Canis lupus familiaris: one gene and its partners. The protein of the gene in region 3 interacts with the protein of the main gene of each other region in a pairwise test. Links are inferred from orthologs where the notes say so. Each region holds a gene or a part of one and is shown on either strand. Other genes may lie near its edges.

Region 1 (4,251 bases), on a different chromosome or scaffold from region 3:
GTCCGAGAGGATGGGAAGCTGAGGTCTCAGCAGAGTCCCCCAGAGGCACATCTCAGGGAGATCTGGATTGTGTGGAGAAGCCAGAAAAGGAAGTAAACCTCCTGGAAGAAGAGACCCCAGGACACTGAGGAGCGGGTCATGGACATCAGCCCCACAGCTGCTGCCATTTGCTGAGCACGAGCCGGACACTGTACTCAGCGTTCACGCTCTCACGGCTAACTGCGGAAGAAAACACAACCAGGTGGGTACCACGACGATCCCATTTTACAGATGGGAAAAAGAAATGCAAAGCAGCTCCAAGGCTGGCCAGAAGCCAGGCAGTCTGCACACGAGATGACTCAGGGCTCAGGGCTGAAGCTGGGCTCCACCTCTCTCCAGCTGTAGGAAGAAGTGATCTCACGGGGTAGGGGGCGTGGTAACAGAGGGGAGAATGCGAGAACTAGAACAGCTGGAGAAACAGATTCAGCAAACAGGTTTAATGAAACAACTCCCTACTGCTGCCATGGGGCGGGGGGAGTCACAGGCCTCTAAGAAGGTATCCTGGAGACACATGCGATGGGTGGGAGATGTGAGCCTGGACCGAGTGGACGATAATGGAGCGGTTGCTGTGTGCCGCCACAATCTTCGGGCAGGAGAAATGGGTCAACGTCTCACAGGTGCAGGTGAGCAGGAACAATGGGCAGGGGAGAGGGACAGATCCAAACCTCCTAGTGGCCAACCAGCCAGAGGAGGGGGGAGGTTCTCCATTATAGGACCAGCCAAGACCAAGGAACCAGGAAGGTGAAGCCCAGAGGTGCCCACCGGGGCCAGGCCCCTCACCCGTGCGACCTCCGTAAGCCTCAGGCCAACTCTCAGAGGGAGGGGTCGACAGTTCCACCTCTAGGACAAGAAAACTGAAGCCTGAGAGCTTAAGCAAGCTTTCTGAAGTCACACAACTGGCCAACAGTGGGATGGGGATTTGAACCCCGGTCCGTAGGACAGGAATGAGTTGGAAGTATGGCTGCAAAGACCACGCACGAGGCAGAGACTGAAGGGACACACTGAATCCCGGGGCCTGGTGAGGAGTGCAAGGGGGTGGGAGACAGTGCCCAAGGGGCTCCCGTTCCAGGTTCCAGCCTACTGGGGGTCAGAGAGTCTGTCAGCATTGGGCAAGTCTGTCTGATGAGGGAGGAGAGGCCTTGACCCCTGTACTCAGGAGACAAAGGCACATCACACTGCACGAGGTAGGAGGGTAAAGCTGGGCCCCCACTGGAGCGTCCAGACCCGCCTCCCAAGAGCATTCTTCCTCCAGGCCCTTCTGGGACCAAAGAAGAGAAGGGGAGGATCCAGAAGTTCTGCCTTCCATGTAGGGCTCTAAACACCCGAGCGGTTGTAAAAACTTTTCCCTCAAGGGCACTGGCAAGTGCAGTGTCCTGCCGGCTGGCCTGCCTCAGGCTGGCCTGCCTCAAGCGAGCTCTACAAGGAAAAGCTGGCAAGGGACTGGAGGGCAGGTCAGCCCCGCTGCTCTTGGGCTCAGGTGCGGCACTGCTGAGCACCTGGCCAGATTTTCCCCCCGCTTCACAGCAGCCCCCCATCCCTTGTCCGTGAGTCTTTCATGAGCTGCAGGTGAGTTAGCTCTCTCACAGACCAAAACCTCAGCAGACCTCATTCCTCCAGCCCTTGCATCACTCCCAGGGCCCTTGTGTAAGCGGGTCCCCCCGCCCCCAGCCTGGAATGCCACCTCTCTCTCCAGTAATAGAAATCCTCTCTTAGGAAATCCTAGCGTTCCTTAGGATCCACTTCTAACATTGCTACATGCTCAAATCTCTCTGCTCCCCTCCAGTGCCCTCAGACTTCAATCTGTTTCCTGAGTCTACCCCCACCATGCTGTCCCCTTCCCTGTAACAGGGTTCTTGTGCTCTGTTCTCACACACCAGACAGTTAAGGTCCTGGGGGTCAGAAACCAAAGCCTTCCAGGTGCCAGAGGACATGCACGGGACTCCACATATCCACACAGTGCACACTGAGCACCTCCACCTGCCGTGGGGTTGTGGGTGGGGAATGATGGTGCTCCAGGGGGTTTCCCTTTCTAGCCCCTTCCTCATGAACCTCTCTGGGACCTCAGGGCTGGGGGAGCTTTCCCACCTTTCAGATGCCAGGTCCCCCATCCCTGCTCTGTTTCCTGCCTCCACTTCTGGGCATACTCAAGCATCCTCTGTAGATCTCCAGCCACAGCAACCTGGATGCGGTCTCCAGCAGGGGTGTCCCACTGCTTCTCCAGAGGGATCCCAAGGCTGAGGGTCCCATCTGGTTTCCCACTTCCCACACCACTTGGCCTCTACTCCCAGGAATAAACTTCTGCAAGGGAGAGGCGCTCAGTTGTCACAGGGAGCAGGAAATAAGAGGCCTATGGCCGGGCTCCTGTGCCGGCAGGGCCACACTGGGTGGAGGGCTCGGGCTGCTGGGGGACTCTGAGCGGACTGGAGCAGAGCCAGGCGGGCGCAGCCCCACGTCTCCTCCCGGCGCCGGGCTCGCACCAGCGGGCGTCCGCACCCTTTCCTCTGGTTCGACCCGAGCAGCCCCGAACCCCGAGCAGCGCGCCGGGCTCCCGCTCCAACTCGGGACGCCGCGGGAGGCGAGGGCCGCGCCCCGGGCCGGGCGGGCGGTACCTGTCAGCAGTTCGATCCTGTGTCCCAGCACCTTCATCCCTGCGCCGCGGCGGGGAGCGCGCTCGGCCCGGCCGGAGAGGAGTCGGGAGGCGAGGAGGGAAGCAGCTGCGGAGCCGGGAGCGAGGCGGGCGGAGCTGCCGGGAGCCTGGAGCGCTCTCGCCGCCCCCCTCGCCGCGCTCCCCCCTCCGAAACGAGTTAAAAAAAAATCCAACAATTGCACGACCGCGCACCCCTAAAAGGCGCGCGCCGCCACCTGGTCGGGGTGAACTCCGGGAGGCGGAGGGGGCCGCGGGGTGGATGCGGGGTCACTCCCGTCGGCGGCGGAGGGCGAGCGGGGGGGGGGGGGCGTCGCGCTAACAAAGAGGCCCTGCCACCCGCGCCTCCCCCAGCGCGACACACGGGGGTCCCCGAGTCCGTCTGGAAAGGAGGGAGGGGGTGCCACCCTCGTAAGCAAAATGTGGCCCGCGCGAGGGGGCGCGTGGCTCGCGAGTCTCAGGTCTGCCGGGGTGTGGGGGGGGGTGGCCGCAGCCCCCGCGGGGGGAAAGGGGGCGGGAGGCGGGGAGACGGGCCGAGGGCGCCGCCGACTCACCGAGGGTGATGCGAGGAAGAGCGACGCGCAGGCGGGGAGCCGGGCCTGGGCGCGGCGGGTGCGGGTGCGGGCGCGGGTGCGGGCGCGGGTGCGGGCTCGGGTGCGGGTGCAGACGCGGGTGCAGGCTCGGGTGCGGGCCGCCGCGGCCGCGGGGGGGGGGCGGAGCCGGGCTGGGGGCGGTGCGCCGCGGGGGCGTGCCCACGTGGGTGTGGCGGGCGTGGGCGCTCGGCAGGCAGCGGGGACCCCGCGCCCCAGGCCGCCCCGGCCCCCCCGGCCCCGGCCCCGGCCCCGGCTTCCTCCTCCTGGGGCGGCGGGAGCGCCCGAGCCCCGCGGAGTCCCCGGGCGGAGCCGCAGCCCCCCTCCTTCCGCGGGCGTCCGGGGAGGCGCCCCGCCGCTGGCCCCCGCCCGCCCCCCTGCCCCCGGCCGCGCGGCGTAGGACCCCCGCGGGGGGGGGGCCTCCGTCCCGGTCTTTGTTTAGGTTCCCGACGGGAGCCCCCTCCGCCGCTGCCGCTCGCGCCCCACCTGCCTGGCGCCTGGGAGCCCGGCGGGAAAAGCCCAGGGCGGTCGGAACGAACCAGCAGCTCAGGGGCCCTGGAGCCTCGTCCAGTTTTCAGAGCCCCGGGGTTTCCTTGGAGGGGCTCATAGGGGCGGGGGAGGGAGTGATGGTTTCCAGGCAAAGATGTTCTGGGGCCCCAGGGTCCCGCTCGGTGCCTCAGGGCTCCTGCTCTCCTCAGTTCACCCTTCATTGTCTGAGCAGGAAGGGGGAGGGAGGACTGGCCTAGCCTTGTCTTCCTCGGGCTCACTCTGGTCTGGCCCAGTTGCTCTCGCCTGTCACCCCAAAGGAGGCAGCGCTGAAGTCCCTAGATAGAGTCCTACTGTAGGGAGCAGGAAAATTTGATGACCTGAAAGAATTTACTTGGTCAAGACGCTCAACAACAGTGCTTCTGGAGACAGGAGTTTGTGGAGGCCCACCCAGTGATCTTGGCCACCCATCCGCCTCTCTCGGATCACACA
Region 2 (4,093 bases), on a different chromosome or scaffold from region 3:
TACTGAGAATTGTACACTTTTAGGCTTCTAAACTAAGAATCTTCAAGATTTAATGTTTGATGTCTCATTTTATAGTCAGACAAAAATTATCTACCATTTTAAATCACAATGCTTCCTAAAGGTGGCTAAAAATCAACACAAAGTTAGTAATTTAAAATGCCTGTAGTTTTCAAAATGTAAAATGTTATCTTAAAAAGAATCACTCAGCATTTACAAACCATGAATGCTATGTGAATGAGAAGCAAGAAAACTGTTCTTTAAAGATCTCAATATTTTCTATTAATTATGGTTTCAGTATACATTTTAATAGATAGCAATAACCCATCATCTTCTCTTGATTACTTTTAGAATTAGAATAGCACTGAGTGTGAAAAATCTACTTAAAGGGATGGCAATACTCCTACCAACTAACAAGTATATTCAGTGTACTATCATTTGTACACTTGATTTAAATACAATGACATTTAATCTTTTAAAAGCATCACTTGGATATTGCTATATCCTGGATTTTAACTTTCTCTTCTCTGCCTCAACTTAAAAAACAGCAACTTTATAATACCATATAGCTACCACACACACACACACACACACACACACACAAGCACGCACCCCAGACAAATCAACAGTAAAGCTTGTTTAATGCACTTGTTTGCCATAATACAGGGCAGATAACGCCAAATCCGAACTAAAGCACCTAAATTAAATTTCTGATTCCACTTGAGTTATCACCTCAAAACTAAAATACCTTTAATTTTAAAAAGCCTAACAAGAAAATTCAATTGAAATGAACTGTCAGAGACTCATGTTTTTGTAGTTTTTATTCCAGCACTTCTGTCAAACCTGTCTTTCTCATATGTTCCCTGCACTGAACACTTCAAAAATTGTGTAACCTGCTGTGAACCTTTTTCTACTTTCTAAAACATATTAAACGTATTTACAATGTAATGACTTCAAACATAAAATTTAATGAAAGTAATAGGTGTAATACATTGTGTATGCCTAAACACATCATTACCCTTTCCTGCTTCTTAAAAGTAGCCTTTCCAACTAAAACCCTAATCCAGACATCCTCCTGGAGTCTGTTCAATTGCATCTATCTGCGGAGCTGAAGCTTACTTAGGGTGTCTAAGTAAAACAAAGTTAGGAGATGCTTCTCCCAGGGACTCGGTCCCTGGCATCCAGTCTCCCGTTGCTCCTTTTAAAAACTGACATACAAACAAGGCGAAAGGAGCGGGAGAAGGCAAGGCGGCTGGCGCTCGGCTCGTGGGGGGGGGCCCCTCCCTGCCTGCAGCCAGGGGCGGCCGCCTGGGGACAGCGACCCAGCCCCGTCCGCATCTACACTTCATTTTATACCAGGGGCGGAATTGAGAAATCGACTCCAGCAGATTTATTGCAGTTTTTCCTCAAGACCAGGAGGTGGGAAGGAGAGAATGATCAAAGATGGCGGTGCCCAAAAGCAGCAGCTCTCAACTGGAGAGTGGAAGGAGTAGCTCTGACCCCACCTCGGGGGTCTCCAGGCCCGCTGCGGGGCGCAGCCTCTTACCTGTTTTCTCTTTGATCTCACACAGGACGCTGAAGAGCGCAGGTTTCATTCTGTGACAGTTGAGAGCATGTTTCCTAAAAGACAAATCGCAACATACAAAGGTATTAGCATCACCTATGGAATAATATGGCGCCTTCCTTTAAGTTCGACCCAAGATTGAATCCCGGCCCTCTCTTTTGGAAGGCTCGCCTGGAACCAGGGCAAGTCAACAGAAACTCAAGTTGACTAGTTAGCGAAAGCCCGCAAGCTCGGGCGGCTCAAGCTCCAGCCCGTTCGAGGCGCGACCCATCCGTCCGGCGGGCGGCCGCCTCGGCGACCGCAGGGCGCGAACCCGAGCGGGGCGCCTCGACAGCCGAGCGGAGCCCTGCGCCCCGAGGGAGGGGACGGCGCGGACCGGCTCCCGCGTCCGCCCTCCGCCCTCCGCCCTCCGCAGGGGGAGCGGGCGCTGCGGCGGCGGCCGGCCGAGCGCGGCCAGCGGGCGGTGACAGCCCGGCAAAGTTTGCGAGGCGGCCCTCCCTCCCCGAGAACTTGGCCGCCCGCACCCGGACGCGCCAGGGAGCCGCCCGGCACCCCGCGCCCGCCGGGCTGGGGCGGCCGCCCGCACCGCGAGGCCGTCCGGCCGCCGAGGGACGCCCGGCGCCGCGACTCCGGGCGGGGGGAGAAAGTTGCACTTCCCGCGAGCGCGGCCCGGGGCCCTCTCGGGGCAGCGCGCGCGGGGGCCGGGCGGGAGCTTGGAGTCCGCGGGAGGGGGCCGGGCCGCGGGAGCGCCGGACGCGGGAGGCGGACCACCGGGAACCCGCGGGCACCGCGTCCGTCCCGAGCCCCGGGACCAACTTTGCCGACTCCCGCCCGCGTCGGGGGGGGCGGGCAGGGCCCCCGGCGGCCCCGGCAGGCAGGCGGCCGGTCTGCGGAGAAAGTTCCCCGCCCCCGGGGCCCCGACTCGGCCGCGGGCCCGGCTCCCGCACGCACACAAAAGATGCTTAATGAGACACCAACTTTGCTTGCGCCTCGTCCAAGCTCTGGTCGGTGATGGTCATGATCTGGTGGAGGATGTCGCCGATGTCCTGCTTCCTGCCGTCGCCGTCCGCCCCTTCGTGGCCGTGCGGGGGAGGCGGCAGGGCCATGCCCCCCTGCACCGAGTGGCCGGCCAGGTTCACCCCGGCCAGAGTCTGCAGCATCCTGGATTGATCGTCCATCCCGCCGCGCGCGGGCGGGAGCGGGCGGCGGCGGCGGCTACGGCGAAGGCTGAGGCGGCGGCGGCGGCGGCGGCGGCGGCGGCGGCGGCGGCGGCGACGAGGGAGGAGAAGAAAGAGGGGGAGGGGGAGGGGAGGGGGAGGGGGAGGCGGCCGCGCGCTCCCCGCCCGCGCGGGGAGGGGGCGGCCCGGCCGGCGGGGCTCGCGGCTGAGGCGGCGCGGACGGGCGCCCGGCTCCGGCTTCCGCCGCCGCCGAGGCTGAGGAGAAGCGCCGGGCGGAAGCGCCGGGCTCCGCGGCGGTGGCTGTGGCGGTGGCGGAGGCGGAGGCAGCGGCGCCCGCTGCCCTCACGCGGCCGCCGCGCCGCCTCCTCGCCGCCGCGCGCCCCGCCGGGCGGCCCCGCGCAACTTGCTCCTCAGAGCCCGCCGAGTTGCCGGGACGCCCGCCGCCCCCCTCCCAGCCCGCGCACTCCCCTCCCCCGGCCGCCGCCGCCGCCGCCGCCTCGGCCGGGCGGGATCCGAGCCCCGGTGGCCCCGGGGGAGGGAGCGGCGGCGGCAGGCGGCGGCGGCGGCGGCGGCGGAGGAGGAGGAGGAGGAGGAGGAGGCCGGCGGGCGGGCCGAGGGGAGCGAAGGGGGCGGAGGAGGAAAGTTTGGGAGCGGGCGGGCCGGCGCAGCGGGGCGCGGAGCCCAGTGGAGGGCCCCGGCGGGCCGCGCGCCGGGCGGACAGCAGACTGTGGGGCGGGAGGAGTCGCCGCCGCCGCTGCCGGAGCCGCGCGCCCTGCCAGCCGCCGCCGCGAACCGGGCTCGGAGGCCGCTCGACTGAGGGATTGACAGGCTGCCAGTGCCACTCACTCACTGCGGCCCCGGCGCCGGGGGGGAGGGGCGGGGGCGGGGGGGGGCGGGCAGCGCGCCGCACGCCCCGCCCCCGAGGGCGGCGCGCGCGCTCATTGGCCGCTGCGCCTCCCGCCGCCGCCGCTGGCGCCTCCCCCGAGCCGCGGCCCGGCCTCTCCGGCCTCGGGTCCCCAGCGCCCGGGAGCGCGCCGCGGTCTCCTCACGCCTGCGTGCGTCCTGGGCCCGCCAGAGCAGCCGCCCCGGCCTGCAAGCGCTCTGCCCCGCGCCCGCCCGGGCTCCTGGCCGCTGCTGTGCACAGTCCCGGGTGCGAGGAGTCGCGTACGGGACACGGGGCAAGTCGCTCCAAAGCCCCCCGTGTGCCCGCCCGCAGCGCCGCGCGCTTCACGCCTAGGGCAGCGCCTGGCACGCTTTCCCGCCCTCGCCGTCAGGAGGTGGTCCCCTCGGGGTTCCGCTGCCCGTCCCAGGCCAATCGTGCTGCGCTCGGAGCCGAACGGGGCGGGACAGAGGC
Region 3 (4,294 bases):
GAGATGGAACATGTTAAAGGAACCAGAAAGCTGGAGGGAAATTTAAAAAGCTGGGACCAAAGATACATCCAATGTGTTTACGTAGCTCATATGGGTGTATTAGATAGAGAGGTACCAAGGCAGCCTTGATCTCTGCTCTCTTATGGCGTATAATCCAGTATCTCTAAGCTGTATGGGAGGGTAAGAACCAAGCATGAGCTTATAGTTCAGCTCCAATGAGGTCTGTTGTTTCTCTGAGGTCACCAGCTTCATTGGATGATTTTGGTTCTTTTATTTTTGAAGGGGTGGGCTGAGGAGAAACAAGGATGATAGCCAAGTAAAAGAGGTAAGGGAGGCCTAGATTTTAAGTTATTACATATGTTTGGCATAAAAAAAATGAAGAGTAAACCAACATGGCTTTTGGAAGTGGTGCTATTCTATGTAGGTAAGGGTCTGAGACATGTTTCTGGAGTGAGAAGCCCTATGACATGAAGAAATAAGAGGAAAGGCTGGATAATTCTGTGAGCCTGGGTCCCTACTAGAATAGGGAAGGGGGAAAGCTCTCACACAGGGAGAAAATTCATATTTGCGTGAGGGCTGTCTTGTCCACAGAGCCCTGATAAAGGCCGCTCTTGGTGCTTCCCAGCCATGACTGTACACTAGAAGCTCTAGGGAGCTTTTAGAAGAAACTGGCTGACTCTGGGCACCCCCCCTCCCCCAGGAGATTCTGATTTAATTAGTCTGGGCCAGTCACCGTATTTTTAAAAGCTGCCCAAGTAATTAAGTACAGCAGAGTTGAGAACTAACTCCTGGGCCAGATAAAGAGATATGGGGGCAGGGGAGAGGAAACAGAGTAGAATGAAGCACTCCCACTTTCTCCCTCAGAATTAGGCAGCGTTTCCAAAAGTGTGATAAGACCACGGATGGTCCCTGAGACAGTATTTGATTTGACGGCACACGGATGAGCCTTCTTCGTATATACGTGTCATAGACACACACGTGTACCCTTACATCTCTTTACATATACACATACATATAAGTAAATATATAAATAGGTAGTTGAGTAAACATTAGAAAAATATACCCAGTGTATCAAATTTGAGGATTCACGGTATTATTGCTTAGAATGAGGCTTGAAGTGGGTACTAAAGTTTAGAAGTGAATTGAAGTGAACATTCTGTAAATTCTAGTACAGGTGGAATGTGGATTTGGCAAAAACTTGTAGAAGAGGTATGCAAACAAGCCGAGTTAGAGGAACATGGAACTAAAGCAGCCCAGAACTTATACAAGCTTCCTCCCCAGATCCTACTGTTCTGGGCGCATCTCCCCCACGCACAACAGCGCCCGGGCCCAGTGCCATCCTCTCCCTACTCTTCTCACATGGATGCCTGTACCTCATCCCAAGCGTTCAGATGCTTCTGAACTGGGCTCAGACTCAAAGCAGCCTCTTCCAGCCTCGCCGTCACGATCCGATTACTGATGTCGTAGCCTGTAACTCACTTGTCTCCTTTTTCAGATTCAAATCTGAGCTAAACTTAACCTAGCACGCCTTAGCCACCTTAGCATAATAGGGCAAGAAAACCAATGCTCGCAAGGCGTTCCAGCCCCACGAGCACAAAAGTGAAACTGAAGCTACCAAATCCAGGTTATGCAAACTCAAAGGAGCAGGTTAGGGAAGAGAGACGGAAACTCCACACGGGACCAAACAACATCAGCCTGCAGGAAGGGCAGGCACTTGCTATCGTTGCACTCTGGATCCGCCGTTCTCAGGGCCTGACGCAACCTTGGGTTGCCCAATTTATGTTTGCACATTTCCCCTGGTCCAAAAACTCCCAAGTCTATAAAATTGCCTTTAGAGAGTTTAAATCTCTGGCCCGATAAGGTTGCAGGCTAGGCCAGGTAACCTCACCGTCACCTGGGCCCAACGAAGTGTGCTGAGAAGGCGTGGGGCTGCCCAGGTCCACTAGGGAGCCAGAAGGTGCAAAGGCAGGCAGCGAGGAACTGGACAACCACGTTTCTACCTTTCCTCCACCACCGTCACGCCCACTTGATTAGAACCTGCCAAGGGCACGGTTCAGACTTGACCTTTTTCCCTGCTCTGCCTCCTAAACGCTGCTCCCCTCTCCAACTCAAAGGGCACTAATAATGGCAAAGGAGGAGGGGGGGTTGGCCTAGGTCTTAAGCCCGCCTCCCCTTCCTGCTACCTGCCCCCCCCCCCCCCCCCCCCGCGTCTTTTCTCGGCGAGGCGAGGCGGCCTCCAGGTCGCTCGGTCACCGGCGGCTACACCTCCGCACCACCCAGCAAGATGGCAGGTTAGCAACAGGCGAGGCCGAGGGCGCCTGCTCCAGCTCTAGCCAAGCCGCCGGGGGCTCCGGCCGTGCCCCGAGCCCAACACCCTCCCCTCCCCGAAGTGCCGATCCGGGGCCCCGCCGGGCCGCCCGATCGCTCCCGGGGGGCGGTCCCCGTGGCCAGCGGGGGCGCAGGTGCCCGCGTAACAGGTGCCAGGCGGTGGGCCCGGGCGGGGGCTCGCGGAGGGCGGGACCCCGGGGCGGCGCAGGTGCGGGCCACGTGGGAGCGAAGGGAGCGGGGGCGGGGGGCGGGGGCAGGGATGCGGCGGGCGCGCCGGTCACCGGGCCGCCCCACTTACAATCTCCAGGCAGACGAAGGCCCCCGAGTAGGTCCGCAGGATGTCCGGGCCGGCGGGCAGGGTGATGCGGGGCGCCGGGAAGGACACGGCGGGGTTCGGGGGCGGCGGGACTGGCGCTCCGCCGGCCGACATGCTGCCGCTGCCGCTCTGCGTCTCCGCCGCCGCCGCCCTCCCTCCGCCCGCCGCCGCCGCCGCCGGGTTCCCGCCGCCGCCGCCGCCGCTCGGGTCCGCGGGGTCCGGGCGCGCCGCGGGGAGGGGGCGTGGCCGCGCGGGGCCCCGCCCCGCCCCGCCCCGTCACGTGGGCCCAGGTGCGCGAGCCGCGGCCGCCGGGTCCGGGCGCAGGTGCGTTGGCCTCCTGGCGCGGTCCCCCCCGCGGCGCCGCGCTCCCCTGGTCTCTCCGCCCCCTGGTCTTCGTTTCAACCTGGTCTCTCCCCGCTGCCCTCCCCCCGCCCCGGGCCTCGCAACTTCCCTTCCCCACTTTCCTCGATTTAGCTGCAAGACGGGTCTTGAAGTTGTGACTCAGAAGGTAAAATCAAGGTCACCAGCCACACCTAAAAAGTGGAGTGGATCTGCCCTAAATGGGACTCTAGTGGGATTTTTTTATCTTTCTTTTTTTTTTTAATTTACTGTTTATTGGTGTTCAGTTTGCCAACATGCAGAATAACACCCAGGGCTCATCCCGTCAGGTGCCCCCCTCAGTGCCCACCACCCAGTCACCCGCACCCCCGCCCTCCTCCCCTTCCACCACCCCTAGTTCGTTTCCCAGAGTTAGGAGTCTTTATGTTCTGCCTCCCTTTCTGATATTTCCCACTCATTTTTTCTCCTTTCCCCTTTATTCCCTGTCACTATTTTTTATATTCCCCAAATGAATGAGACCATATAATGTTTGTCCTTCTCCGATTGACTTACTTCACTCAGCATGATACCCTCCAGGAGAGTCAGCTGGCTCAGCTCCAACATCCATTGGTGGTGGAGGCGAGGGGGATGCTGGACAGCTAACTGGCTTCTTTGGGTGCCGGTGGTGTGCTCATCTGTGAAATGGGGGCAAGGGTCTTTACCTCTTGGGATTGCCCAGATTACATGAACATGAAAAGAGCTTAGCTCATGGTAAGCGCCCTTCAATAGGCGCTGATAGGATGACTGCTATTTTTTTTAGATTTTTTACACATGCACCTATCATGCTCTTGTGTACACATGTTGTTGCATAGGCTGTATTTTCCGCATAAAACTTTAATTATTGATTTTACCTGTCTGAAACTTATGAATTGTCTCTTAGACACTTAAATGGATTTTCTTTTTTAAGGATGCTATGTATACTTTAGATTCCCTGCCCCAATTTATCCCCATTTTATCTTTGATTTTAAGGTCAACATTTTGTAAGTGAGATAAAGGATAGGAGAGTTAACCTTCTCAGAGATTAGCTGAATATAAACAAAAGTACACACACCAGCATACACAGGCAGAACAGGTTGGAAAAAAATATTACGTGACATCATCAGGCATCCTCCAAATACTGGTCTTGTCTATCAGTAGCCTTTAAAGAACTCTGTATAGCTCTATGCATTGGTCAGCAGATTTTAGCCGTTCTACCTCTTCATTATTTTAATAAGTGAAACTCATAGGTGTGGTGGCAAGAATAGGGCAAACCCCACAAAACAGGGTGTGGGT
Region 4 (3,500 bases), on a different chromosome or scaffold from region 3:
CACTAAAGTTATCTTGAGTGTCACACCTTTTACATACTCTGCTGAGAGTCTACAAGTCCTTATTTGGTAGCTCTGCAGACATGCGAAATTAAAAAAAAATTCTTTATAGCCCATACAATTTATTTGAATAATAAAGTACATGTGGGCCTTACCTTGCTTCTGGTCCCTTTTTAGGAGATTAAGTTATAAAAGGCACGTGAAGAATTTGATTTCATTTTTGTCTTGTTTGGCTTTGGTGGAGAAGAAGAAGAGGTATAATTTCTTTCAGCCTCTGGCTCATTTTCATCTTTTCTTCATGATTGTTTGCCCCTCACCCTGATTTCCTTGGTCCTGCCTTTCTAGGCCTCTGCAGAAGATCGTGCCTGAATGAGGGGGTAAGCATCAGGTGAAGTGATGATGCCAACCTGGTGGTTGTGAAGCAGATTGGATGTTCTGAAAACAAAATCATTTTAATTTTCGAGAGCTCTCCAAGAGGTGGTGATTATGCTTTAAATAACTATTAGAAAAGGTTAGCTTAACTTTTCTTTGTTCTGTTCTTTTATAATTTAATGTAGATACAAAAAGACTTCCGAAACCTTATCTCAAGCTGGGCAGAAGGCGTCAGCTGCTTTCTCCTCTGTTGGATCAGTCATCACCAAAAAGCTGGAAGACGTAAAGTATGTCCTCATTTCTCCTTGCTCATTAAGTAGCTGAGGCAAATTAAAGTTATGTTGTGGTTGCATTGGTTTCCTGACTTTGGCTGTGGATGATGCCGGATTCTTTTCAACTGAGGGGAGCCCACTCCTTCAAAACAGGAGAGGGGAAATATTGCCTAAAGTATCTTAGGGGTAGCTTTCTGACTTTCAGACATAGCGTTCAAAATAATCATCTTATGAATACATTTAAAGTTGCTGGAAAATTCTGGTTGTGCACTTCTATCCTTCTAGTCCTTCCTGGTCATGCAGGGTAAGTATATCTCTCGCAGTTGCAAGTTTGTGGTTGGGGGCTGAGCCTGTGATCCTACTGGGGACACGTCCAGGAGCATTGACTGCACGCTGGGGCCAAGACCTGCCTTCAGCTCTGTGTGTTACATTGTGGTTACATCAAACCGTGGTGTGATTACAACATGCCCATCTGTGTACTGACTTGTACTCATTTGTAAGCTCTCTCTACATTCATGCTTAGGCCCAAATCTTGATATTGAGCTTTGCTTTTTATTTTGCATTTATATTTTAGATTAGTCTGCAGAGTTTTTGTGGCAATTTTGATAAAACCACTTCACGGTGCTTCTGTGTGTCTCCCCTGCCCTCCTCCCCTATGTTGATTAGAATAGCGCTGAAAGTGAGAAACATGGTTTAAATTTTCTGTGCTTCTGTTGGCATGAAAGTTATTTTGTTTTACCAACAAAACCCTCAGATTGCATGACTTTGTGTTTTTCATTTGTGGGGAATGTAGCTTTTACAACCAGAATTTTGTTGGTTGAATAAGTTTGGCAATCAAATGTATTATACATTGTACCAAAAAAAAAATGACTTGCTTATTATATTTGGACTATCATCATTCTAAGCATTGTGTAATAAACATAGCTTACTTGGATTCTTCTGACAGTTTATAGACATCTCGTAGGTGTTCTCATTTCTTTTTTTGCCAACTTGACTGTATAGCGCTTTGGAAGTCCAGTTAAAACCTTACACAACTTTTAAACAGGTAATTTCATTGTTTTAGATTTACCAGAACTTCCTTTCTTTTTTAATGCTTACTGCGGCTTCTTGCAGATTGCAAGCCTTTTCACATTCCTTTAGGTAAGGAGAGCTTGAACCATCCCTGCAGCTTAGCCGGTGGTGTCTAAGACAAGTGTGCTTAATTAGATTATTATGCCACGTTGGATGATTGTGTTTGTCCACTACATACTTTTCTTGCATCTGGAATATCTTTCTCTAGTGCATACCTATTTCTAAGGGAGGATTTCTCGTATACCCGGGGTAATGGATAAATTAAAAGAATAATTTGACATTGTGGTTTAGGGATATGGAAATGATTTTGATGTTTCTTACTTTTTTTTTTTTTTTTTTTTTTTTTGGGAAAAAGAAGCAGCTTAACCATGGCATACAGAATTCCTCCCTTTTAATGTCTGACTTTGTTTGTTTTTGATGCTTTAATTTCTTTGGTGCTTTTGTCAGGATGTTGGAATTCTTCACCTGGGTCTCATTATGTATCTGTAATAGACTGCATATGTCCCGCCTCGTGATGTTAGTCTCCCATCTTATACAGGTTACTCTGGATATTTTTTTTTATTGTGGTAAAATATACATAAAGTAAAATATACCATTACTCTGCACTTTTCACTACTTGCTTTGTTAGCGTATAGTTTTTACTATCCTTTAATTTCTCTATACATTATATTCTTTAAGTGTACATGTAAAGAAATTTCATGGTTGCAAAAGAAAAATAATCTCTTAGGCTAAAAAACAAGCACATTAAAAAGATGTCAGTCCAAACCATGCCTTAGAGAAGAAGGAATCTTTGTGATGTTGAACAAACCTCTTCTCTGTCTCCCATACAGACTGTGTATCCAATTAGTTGAGAAAATGAAGTTGGAGCAAGGTCTTTAGAGTATAAGCAGGAAAGACAGCATTGGTAGTCTCCACACCTGTTCCTATGAAGGCAGATTGTCTTCTCAAGCAGTCATTTGTGGTAGTCTGTCTTCTTAAGTAAGGGAATATGTACTTAGAGCTGAGGTCTTTCTGCCCTACTGACACTTGGCCCTGGAAGTCAGAGTAAATCATAGGGATGTGTCAACTCTAAAAGCTGAATTATTTAAAGTTAAACCTGTGCTTTAAAAAAAAAAAAATCACTAATAGGAGGTGATACTGTATCTTTGGTATTCAATTAAAAACGTCCTAAGTGGGATCCCTGGGTGGCGCAGCGGTTTGGCGCCTGCCTTTGGCCCAGGGCGCGATCCTGGACACCCGGGATCGAATCCCACGTCGGGCTCCCGGTGCATGGAGCCTGCTTCTCCCTCTGCCTGTGTCTCTGCCTCTCTCTCTCTCTCTCTGTATGACTATCATAAATAAATAAAAATTAAAAAAAAAAAGTGTATTTAAAAAAAAAAAAAAACGTCCTAAGTGATCTAGGCAACTGTTAATTAAGACCATTTTATCTAAGGTTGTCTGTGAGTTGTGTGTGAACAGGTATTCAGTCTCATAATCCATCCTGCTAACATTAGACTGCACTTTGTGGGCAGGTCCAAAGAATAGAACCATAAAACAGATCTGCTTCTTGTACGGAAAGACCTTAAAAATCTTTGAGTGGATGGAGTGGGGGAAAGAAGCAGGGACTAGGAACAAGTTAAGGTGGAAGAGCCCTGTTAACACTGGATTATATAAAACAGTTTTAGATGTGATATAAACAAAAATGCAAGAATATTTATGTAAGTGCTATAGAGGAATGACTCATTAGTATGTGTCCCTATTCTCTATGTGTTTAAGAAGATTAAGCAAATGTCTTATTAATTGGCCAGG
Region 5 (4,000 bases), on a different chromosome or scaffold from region 3:
AACTTGGCATTTTGTAGGAAACGATATGATTTTTAAAAACCCACATTCCTTGTTGATCTTTTTTTTTAAAAAGAGATTTAATTTATTTATTCTTGAGAGACCCAGAGAGAGAGCAAGAGACATACAGGGGGAGAAGCAGGTTCCCCAAGGGAAGCCTGATGTGAGACTGGATCCTGGGCTCCACCCAGGAGTCCCTATCCTTGTTGATCTTAATAAATATTTAAAAGCATCAGGTTCCCTGCAGGGAGCCTGCTTCTCCCTCTGCCTGTGTCTCTGCCTCTCTCTGTGTGTCTCTCATGAATAAATAAATAAAATATTCTTTTAAATAAATGAAATTTAAGAAAAGAGATCCCTGGGTGGCTCAGTGGTTGAGTGTCTACCTTTGGCCCAGGCCTGATACCGGGGTCCTGGGATCGAGTCCTGCATTGGGCTCCCTGCATAGAGCCTGCTTCTCCCTCTGCCTGTGTCTCTGCTGGTCTCTCTCTCTGTCTCTCTGTCTCATGAATAAATGAATAAAATCTTTAAAAAAATAAATATTTAACTGTTCCCATCCAGTTCTTGTTAATGCCCATCACATTGTTCACTGTAAAAGATTTTTTTCTAAACACACCCGTATATGTATATACTCTGTGCAGACTAAAGCACTGACTTTAACAATACTTAAATATCTACTTTCCTTGGTCTTAATTTTTTAATAGGTACCCTAGTGCCATTGTCGCAGTGGAATACTAATGCCTTGAAGTATTAGAAACATAGAAACTCTAAATCTGACTAATCCAATGAAAAGAAGTGAATGCGTTTTGCCTCTTTAAGGTCAGCCTAATGAAAAAAAATTAAAATAAAGTAGAATAAAATAAAATAAAGTAGAATAAAATAAAATAAAATAAAGTAAAATAAAATAAAGCAAAATAAAGTAAAATAAAATAAAGTAAAATAAAATAAAATAAAGTAAAATAAAGTAAAATAAAATAAAGTAAAATAAAATAAAATAAAATAAAGTAAAATAAAATAAAATAAAGTAGAATAAAATAAAATAAAGTAAAATAAAATAAAATAAAGTAAAATAAAATAAAAATTAATAAAATAAAGTAAAATAAAATAAATAAAATAAAGTAAAATAAAATAAAATAAAGTAGAATAAAATAAGATAAAGTAAATAAAATAAAGCAAAATAAAATAAAGCAAAATAGAATAAAGCAAAATAAAATAAAGTAAAATAAAATAAAGTAAAATAAAATAAAATAAAATAAAATAGGGATCCCTGGGTGGCGCAGCGGTTTGGCGCCTGCCTTTGGCCCAGGGCACGATCCTGGAGACCCGGGATCGAATCCCACGTCAGGCTCCTGGTGCATGGAGCCTGCTTCTCCCTCTGCCTGTGTCTCTGCCTCATTCTCTCTCTCTGTGACTATCACAAATAAATAAAAATTTTAAAAAAATTAAAAAATAAAATAATAAAATAAATAAAATAAAATAAAATAAAGCAAAATAAAATAAAGTAAAATAAAATAAAGTAAAATAAAATAAAATAAATAAAATAAAGTAAAATAAAATAAAATAAAGTAAAATAAAATAAAGTAAAATAAAATAAAATAAATAAAATAAAATAAATAAAATAAAATAAAGTAAAATAAAATAAAATAAAGTAAAATAAAATAAAATAAAATCAGATCAACCTAACGCATCATACCTTAGTGCCGAAGCATTTATTTCCCTAATTGTGGGTGGACGGGCCCCTTGGCCACCTGCCTGCGCTAGGCCCTGACGAGCATTTTATGAATCTCAACTGCAGTTACCAGGATGTAACCACGGCTCGCACGGAGCAGAATTCTTTTATTCTTTCCCCTCCCGATGCCGATTTTATCTCAAGGCGTGAGAAGGCAAGGCAAGGCGGCGGTCCGAGGCCACATGCGGAAGATGTCATCTCCCCGGACGAGGAGAGGAGTCAAGCACCTTCTGGACATGAGGGCCTCGGCGCCCACCGACTAGGACGAGGCTGGGGAACCCGCCGCGCACCGCGGAGGCCGCGAGCGTCCCTGGGGACAGGCCCGGGAGCTTGGGCCGGCGCGGGGCGCCCGTGCGGTTCATCTTTTCCTTAGTTCAGGGTGTGTTTCTTTTTCTTAACGACGTGAGATCCGGCCGTGGCCTTGCAGCCTCCCCGAGGCCGGGTCTAGGCAGCGCCGGGCCCCCGAGGTCGGCGAGCGGGCGCGGGAAGGGCGGCCGGGGCCCCGGGCTCCCCCTGACCCGGCCCCGGGGCGCCGCGAGCCGCCGCCTCCTGGGAACTGCGGGGCCGGGGCTCTCGGGACAATGGGCCGCGGGGCCGCGGGGCTGCGGGGCGACCCTCCGGGCTCACCGGGAGCCGAGACGCTGCCGCAGCCCCCCCGCCCCCCGGCCGTGCCCGCCGAGCCCGAGCCGCGGACCGTCGGGGCAAGGAGCCGAGCATCCCCGGGGGCGGGGGGGGGGCCGGGGACTTGGATGCCACCGGGGGGGGGCGGGGGCGGCCCGCGGGGGCAGGGGTAGGGGTGCGGGGGGTGGGCAGGGGCAGGATGGGGGGCGTGTGCGGCCCGCGGGTGGGCAGGGGGCAGGGGAGGGGGAGGGGCGTGCGGGCCGCGGCCGGGGCAGGGGCGCGGGGGCGGGGGCGGGGGTCCTGGGCCGGGGTCGCCCCCCCGGCCGCCGCTTACCTGCTCCTCCTCCGGGGTCAGCTGCGGCGCCATGTCGGGCCGGGGCGCGGTCGCGGGCTCCATCCCGCCGGGAGCGGGGAGCGGGGAGCGGGGAGCGGGGAGCGGGGAGCGGGGGCCGGAGCCGGGGCCGGGGCGGGGCGGGGGTCCGCGGCCGCCGCTTCCGCGTCTCAGCAGCCCGGGCCCGGCCGGCGCATGGCGGGGCGGAGAGGCCGGGCGGAGAGGCCGGGCGGAGAGGCCGGGCGGAGAGGCCGGGCGGAGAGGCCGGGCGGCCGCCAACGCCGCGTCTGCTCCCGGAGGAAGGGCCGCGGCCGCCCGCTCGGCGGAAATCCCGGCTTCCGCCCCTCCCCCCGCGCCCCTCCCCTCCCGCAGGGACGCGCCCGCCCCGCGCCCCGAGGTGCCGGCCCGCAGCGCCCCGGGCGGTCGGGGGTCCGGCGGGAGCTCCCCACAGCCCACAGCCGCCCGCCCGAGCCGGGGCCGCGGCCCTGCCCCCCGCCCCGCCCCGCCCCGCCCCGCCCCCGCCGCGCACTGGGCGCCCCCTCCGGGCTCAGCGCCCGCGCCGCAGCGCCCGCCCGACGCCCCGCGGCTCCATTCAGAAAGCGGCTTCTCATTCACAAACGGGCGGCGGCGCGGAGGGCGGGGCGGGGCGGGGCGGGGCGGGGGCGGACCCGCCGGGAGGGGGAGGCCGGGCGGGGCGGGGGGACGGAGGAGGGAGGAGGGAGGGCTGCGGGGGGGAGGGCCCAGGGGGAGTAGGGGGGAGGGGGGATGGCTGCGTGGAGGATGGAGGGCTGCGGGGGGATCTGGGGGGGAAGGGCCGCAGGGAAGAGGGGGGCCGCAGGGGGGAGGGCCGCGGGGAAGAGGGAGGGCTGCGGGGGGGGGGTGCGGGAGGAAGGAGGGCCGTGGGGGGGTAGGCGGTGGGGGAAGGGCCGCAGGGGAAGAAGGACGGGGTGGGGGGGCGGCAAGGGGAGGGCCTCAGGGAAGAGGGAGGGCTGAGGGGCGGTGGGGGAGAAGTCTGGGGGAGGGGGAAGAGGGGAGGAGGGAGGGCCGCAGGGAAGAGGGAGGGCTGCTGCGGGGGTGGGGGGGTAACCCCGCGGGAGGAGGGCGGAGGGGAGGAGGGAGGGCTGCGGGGGGGTCTGGGGGGGAGGGCCGCGGGGGGGAGGGCCGCAGGGGTCGGGGGAGGCGGCTGGTGTTCCGCGGCACCGCGCCCGCAGGCCGCACCCCCTTCGCCCCCGAGGACCGCCGACCGCCGCCCGGGCGCCCGCACCTGCGGCCCTCAGCGGGAGCCGCGCTCAGTCCCGCAGGGGAGCAGCAGCGGGTCGACCCTC
Region 6 (4,140 bases), on a different chromosome or scaffold from region 3:
TATAAATGTCCCCACATTGTGCTCGCTTCGGCAGCACATATACTAAATGTCCCCACATCATTTTGTGTAAAAAGAATAGTATGTTTATCCTTATGGCAGATAAATGAGACCAGTGGCTAAAAGCATACTGCCTGTCCACAAGGTGAGAGTTCAACAGACGTTAACTACTGCCTTATACTTTTCAACAGCCAACCCTACTCTGAGGACAAAAGGATGAAAATGGGTGTACTGAGGATAAGAAAAGAATCACACAAAGAGATGGACACGTTTGGATAAACAACAGAGATGCTGGGGGCCTGTGGAAACTATTGCAGAAGAGAGTGGAGCACAGCCAGCATGATTCTTGAGAGCACAACTCAGCAGAGGATTTATCAAGAGTCCAAAACAGCCGCTCCCAGAGTAGGATGTGGCCATCGCAGCAATTCTTTGAGATGGGCCTCAGAATGGCGAGATCACAAATTGATCAGAACCAGCAGCTTATACTACACAGTGTTTTCCATTCCCTCACAGATTTGAATGCAGGGCACCCCCTACCACTGCCCCCTCAAGAAAAAGCTCTGGTGGCCAGTCTGAGCAGCCTAGCCAGTTCCTCTAGCAGAGTGTGCCTGCTTGGGACAGTATGGCCCTCCAGCATGGGCCTTGAGAGCTAGGGGTTGGGAGGAGGGGGCTTCTCCTGCAGGAGGGACTACATCAAGGTCCAAGACAGCAAGCACCATCCCCAGTTGCTCTGGTCAAGCCCTGGTGGTCTGATGCCTGTTGGGCAGGGTCCAACCCAGGGCCAGGTCACTTAATTCTACCCTGCTGGGACAAAGGGCTGTACTCTCAGCAATAATGCCAGAACCCCCCCGGATTAAGTGTTTCTTCCTCTAGGGGTTAGCCATCATCTGGGGTTTGCCCTAGATAAACACTAGCGTGGGGTCATGACTTTTTCCATCAAGGGGCAAAAGGTTCCAGCTGAGTTACTGTCGACTTATTTCTCTTCTCTCCTACTGAACTTTTCCAAATTGTGGGAAAAGCCCAGTTTGCCAGCAGGGCCCACACAATCCCTAAGATGGTCGCTCATTCCTTCACGGATTCTATCCACACAAAGTGCCCACCTACGGTTCTTAATCTGGGATGCGGGGATCAAGAGGATTCAAGAAATCTGGGGCTTCGTGGATCTGAAACTATAAACTGAATCTCCCACTTGCTCCAGCTTTCTGGAGAGTGGATCCACAGCTTTCACCAGATTCTTGAGCAATGGGGCCGGGACATTCCAAAAAAACAAAACAAAAAACAACAAAAAACCACCCTATACTTACTTGTCACGTCTAAAAACATACATACTCTCGGATTCAGCATTCTCCTTCTGGGAATTTATCCTATAAACCCAATCCCACCTCTGAGCAAAGATATTCACTGGCTATTCATTGTGTGTAGCACAAACTGACAGGAAACGATCCACACATACATCAACAGATGACTGGTCAAAATTTAACCAATCCCCCAAAGATGACTGGAATATCAACACCCATTAAGAAGATCAAAGAGAGGGGATGGGGGGATCAGCGGTTTGGCGAGCCTTCAGCTCAGGGTGTGATTGCGAGTCCTGGGATCAAGTCCCACATCGGGCTCCCCGCATGGAGCCTGCTTCTCCCTCTGCCTGTGTCTCTCTCTCTCTCTGTGTGTGTCTCTCATGAATAAATAAATAAAATCTTAAAAAAGAAAAGAAGATCAAAGAGACTCTAGGGGTATGCTCCAGGGCAGTGGCTCTGGGGTGGGGGCAGAAGGGGACGTTTGGTAGCAGGGGGAGGTATGTGTGGTGTCAGGATTGGGGGGGGGGGGTGCTCCTGGCATCAAGCGGGTGGGGCCAGGGATGCCCCTCATCGCCCCCACAGTGCCCAGGACAGCGCGGTCTGAGGCGGAGAATTCCAGCTCTAGCATTATCTCCGAACACATGGAACGGAAAACCGAAAAAGCCGAAGTACAAAGGGCTACACAGGCCACGGTACCACCGTGTGCGTGTGCGTGTGCGTTTTTCTAGGAAAGGTGTAACCGATCTTCGGAAAAGATGCCGGTCCTTGCCCCTGGGGAGAGGGGCTGGATGCCCCGGGGGACTGGAGGCGGAAGCGGGGCTTTCCCCTCCACCCTTTCCCAACTTTGTAGCGGGTCCATCAAAAGGGGTTTTCGTTTGTTTGTTTTGGAGAACGACTGCGGACGCCAAGTTTCCCTGCCCCCGGGCTCTCTGGCAGGAGTCCTGTGTCGACAGCCTCAGGGCAGTGTCTTCCTCGCCCGCTCCGGGCCCGTCTCCGCGAGGGAAGGCGACGGCGTCCGGGTCCGCGTCCCGGGTCCGCGTCCCGGGGCGCCGCCGCCCCTCCCCGGGGTCTGCCCACCCTCCCGGGGAGACCCGAGCCCACATGGCGGGCGGGCCCGTGAGCCGCCTCGTCGGCAGCCCCCGTCCCTCGCGGGTGGGAGACCCCCTCAGCGGACGCCGCGCGCCAACGCCGCGCCTCCGGAGCCGGCGGCCCCCTCACGAGCCCCGTCGGGCCTGGCCGGGTCCCCGACTCCGCACAGCCTGGGGGCGCGGCGCCAGCTCCCCCGCCTCGGCCGCCGCTCACCTGGCTCGCCTTGTAGAACTGCTTCTTCAGCCCCGCCACCGACATGCTGCCTCCCGCCGTAGGGGCTCCCGCCCGGACCCAGCGAACCGGAGGGACCGCGCAAGCGACAGGCTCCCGGGCGCCGCCGATACCCCGCGCGCCTCAGCGGGCCCCGTCGGCGCTGCCTCCACCGCGCTCTCGCCAGCTCCGCGCCCGCCCCGGCGCCGCCTCAGGCCCCTCGCGCGCCCGCGCGGCCAGGATATTACATGGCAACCGCACACTTCCGGTGCCGGCCTGCGCGCGCCCCCGGCCCCGACCGCGCACGCGCGCCCCCTGCCGGCCGGAGAGCGCACGCGCACGTCTTGCCCTCTCCCCTCCCCCCCCGTTGAGGCCGCCTCCGACAGCGAGCCGACGGGAACGAGCCTAGAGAGACCCTGGAGGCTACAGCGCCTCCTGGCGGCCCGGAGGTAGTCCTAGCGTTTTAGGAAAGGCGCTTAAATCCTGGAGAGGTTGGGAGGCTGGGTCTGTAAATCAGACGTCGTTCGCTAATCTCAGCCGACCCAATTCTCTGTGCATTTAGTCCCTTCCACACGCACCGCCTTCAGCCCTGCCACGTGCTCATCCATTTAGTTGCCCTAGTACGACATCAGGGTGTCCCTTTATTGCTTTTCTATCCCCCTGGCCTCCCTGCCCAGGCCAGACTATCGCACCCAGTCTCCTCGCTGGTATGCCCACCTGCAGGTTCCCCCTCCAATTATCCCCCTTAAAAATACTCAGAGGGACGCCTGAGCGGCTCAGCGGTTGGGCATCTGCATTCGGCTCAGGGCGTGATCCCGGGTGCAGGGATCAAGTCCCATGTCGGGCTCCCCGTGAGAACCCTGCTTCTCCCTCTGTCTGAGTCTCTGCCTCTCTCTGTGTGTTTCTCATGAATAAATGAGTACATTCTTAAAAAAAAAAAAAAAAAAAAAAAAAGGATGCTCTATAACAAAATGTATACCACATTAGTCTACTATCTTCACAATACACTCTCAACTTCGTAGCATGGCCTACAAAGCTTACAGATTTTGGCTCCATCAACTCTTCTGACTTCAGCTCTCTTCCTCTTCTATAACCCATGATCCCTGTTTCCTGTGGGCCTTTGCTAAGGTTGTTCTTTTCTGGCACATTTTCCCCCAATCTCCCCCCCCCCGCCCCCCATCCTTTGTGCATAAAAGAGAAATCTGTTGGGAATGTCACCTCTTTCAGGAAATTCTCTCAGTTTTACACATGTTAATTGATTTTTGTTTTTTATATCAATTGTTATTGAATTAACTGGAAGTTCGATTCTGGAGACCCAGGATCGAATCCCACATCGGGCTCCTGGTGCATGGAGCCTGCTTCTCCCTCTGCCTATGTCTCTGCCTCTCTCTCTCTCTCTCTCTGTGACTATCATAAATAAATAAAAATTTAAAAAAATGTTTAAAAAAAAAATGGGATCCCTGGGTGGCGCAGCGGTTTGGCGCCTGCCTTTGGCCCGGGGCGCGATTCTGGAGACCCAGGATCGAATCCCACGTCGGGCTCCCGG

What was found.
Region 1: the proteins of MAL2 (region 3) and NDRG4 interact in binary tests that used the Homo sapiens proteins (3 or more experiments, as listed by UniProt). The two-hybrid records come from large-scale screens. The link is inferred for Canis lupus familiaris from reciprocal best matches to the Homo sapiens genes MAL2 and NDRG4.
Region 2: the proteins of MAL2 (region 3) and PBX3 interact in a two-hybrid assay, tested with the Homo sapiens proteins (2 studies listed by BioGRID). The two-hybrid records come from large-scale screens. The link is inferred for Canis lupus familiaris from reciprocal best matches to the Homo sapiens genes MAL2 and PBX3.
Region 4: the proteins of MAL2 (region 3) and TPD52 interact in a two-hybrid assay, tested with the Homo sapiens proteins (2 studies listed by BioGRID and IntAct). The link is inferred for Canis lupus familiaris from reciprocal best matches to the Homo sapiens genes MAL2 and TPD52.
Region 5: the proteins of MAL2 (region 3) and PTPN9 interact in binary tests that used the Homo sapiens proteins (3 or more experiments, as listed by UniProt). The two-hybrid records come from large-scale screens. The link is inferred for Canis lupus familiaris from reciprocal best matches to the Homo sapiens genes MAL2 and PTPN9.
Region 6: the proteins of MAL2 (region 3) and SH3GL1 interact in binary tests that used the Homo sapiens proteins (3 or more experiments, as listed by UniProt). The two-hybrid records come from large-scale screens. The link is inferred for Canis lupus familiaris from reciprocal best matches to the Homo sapiens genes MAL2 and SH3GL1.

Annotation. Positions count from the first base shown.
Region 1 is NC_049223.1:57,451,226-57,455,476, forward strand, and holds the start of NDRG4 (protein NDRG4), read right to left. Parts: upstream 2,801-4,251; 5' UTR 2,686-2,800; coding exon 2,649-2,685; intron 1-2,648. UniProt on the Homo sapiens protein: Contributes to the maintenance of intracerebral BDNF levels within the normal range, which is necessary for the preservation of spatial learning and the resistance to neuronal cell death caused by ischemic stress.
Region 2 is NC_049230.1:57,499,533-57,503,625, forward strand, and holds the start of PBX3 (pre-B-cell leukemia transcription factor 3), read right to left. Parts: upstream 2,801-4,093; 5' UTR 2,740-2,800; coding exon 2,540-2,739; intron 2,240-2,539; exon of another isoform or gene 2,148-2,239; intron 1,618-2,147; coding exon 1,544-1,617; intron 1-1,543. UniProt on the Homo sapiens protein: Transcriptional activator that binds the sequence 5'-ATCAATCAA-3'.
Region 3 is NC_049234.1:18,780,767-18,785,060, reverse strand, and holds the start of MAL2 (protein MAL2), read right to left. Parts: upstream 2,801-4,294; 5' UTR 2,759-2,800; coding exon 2,627-2,758; intron 1-2,626. UniProt on the Homo sapiens protein: Member of the machinery of polarized transport. Required for the indirect transcytotic route at the step of the egress of the transcytosing cargo from perinuclear endosomes in order for it to travel to the apical surface via a raft-dependent pathway.
Region 4 is NC_049250.1:27,999,506-28,003,005, reverse strand, and holds part of TPD52 (tumor protein D52), read left to right. Parts: intron 1-554; coding exon 555-656; intron 657-1,754; coding exon 1,755-1,781; intron 1,782-3,500.
Region 5 is NC_049251.1:38,823,878-38,827,877, forward strand, and holds the start of PTPN9 (tyrosine-protein phosphatase non-receptor type 9), read right to left. Parts: upstream 2,801-4,000; 5' UTR 2,742-2,800; coding exon 2,679-2,741; intron 1-2,678. UniProt on the Homo sapiens protein: Protein-tyrosine phosphatase that could participate in the transfer of hydrophobic ligands or in functions of the Golgi apparatus.
Region 6 is NC_049241.1:55,677,540-55,681,679, reverse strand, and holds the start of SH3GL1 (endophilin-A2), read right to left. Parts: upstream 2,801-4,140; 5' UTR 2,643-2,800; coding exon 2,598-2,642; intron 1-2,597. UniProt on the Homo sapiens protein: Implicated in endocytosis. May recruit other proteins to membranes with high curvature.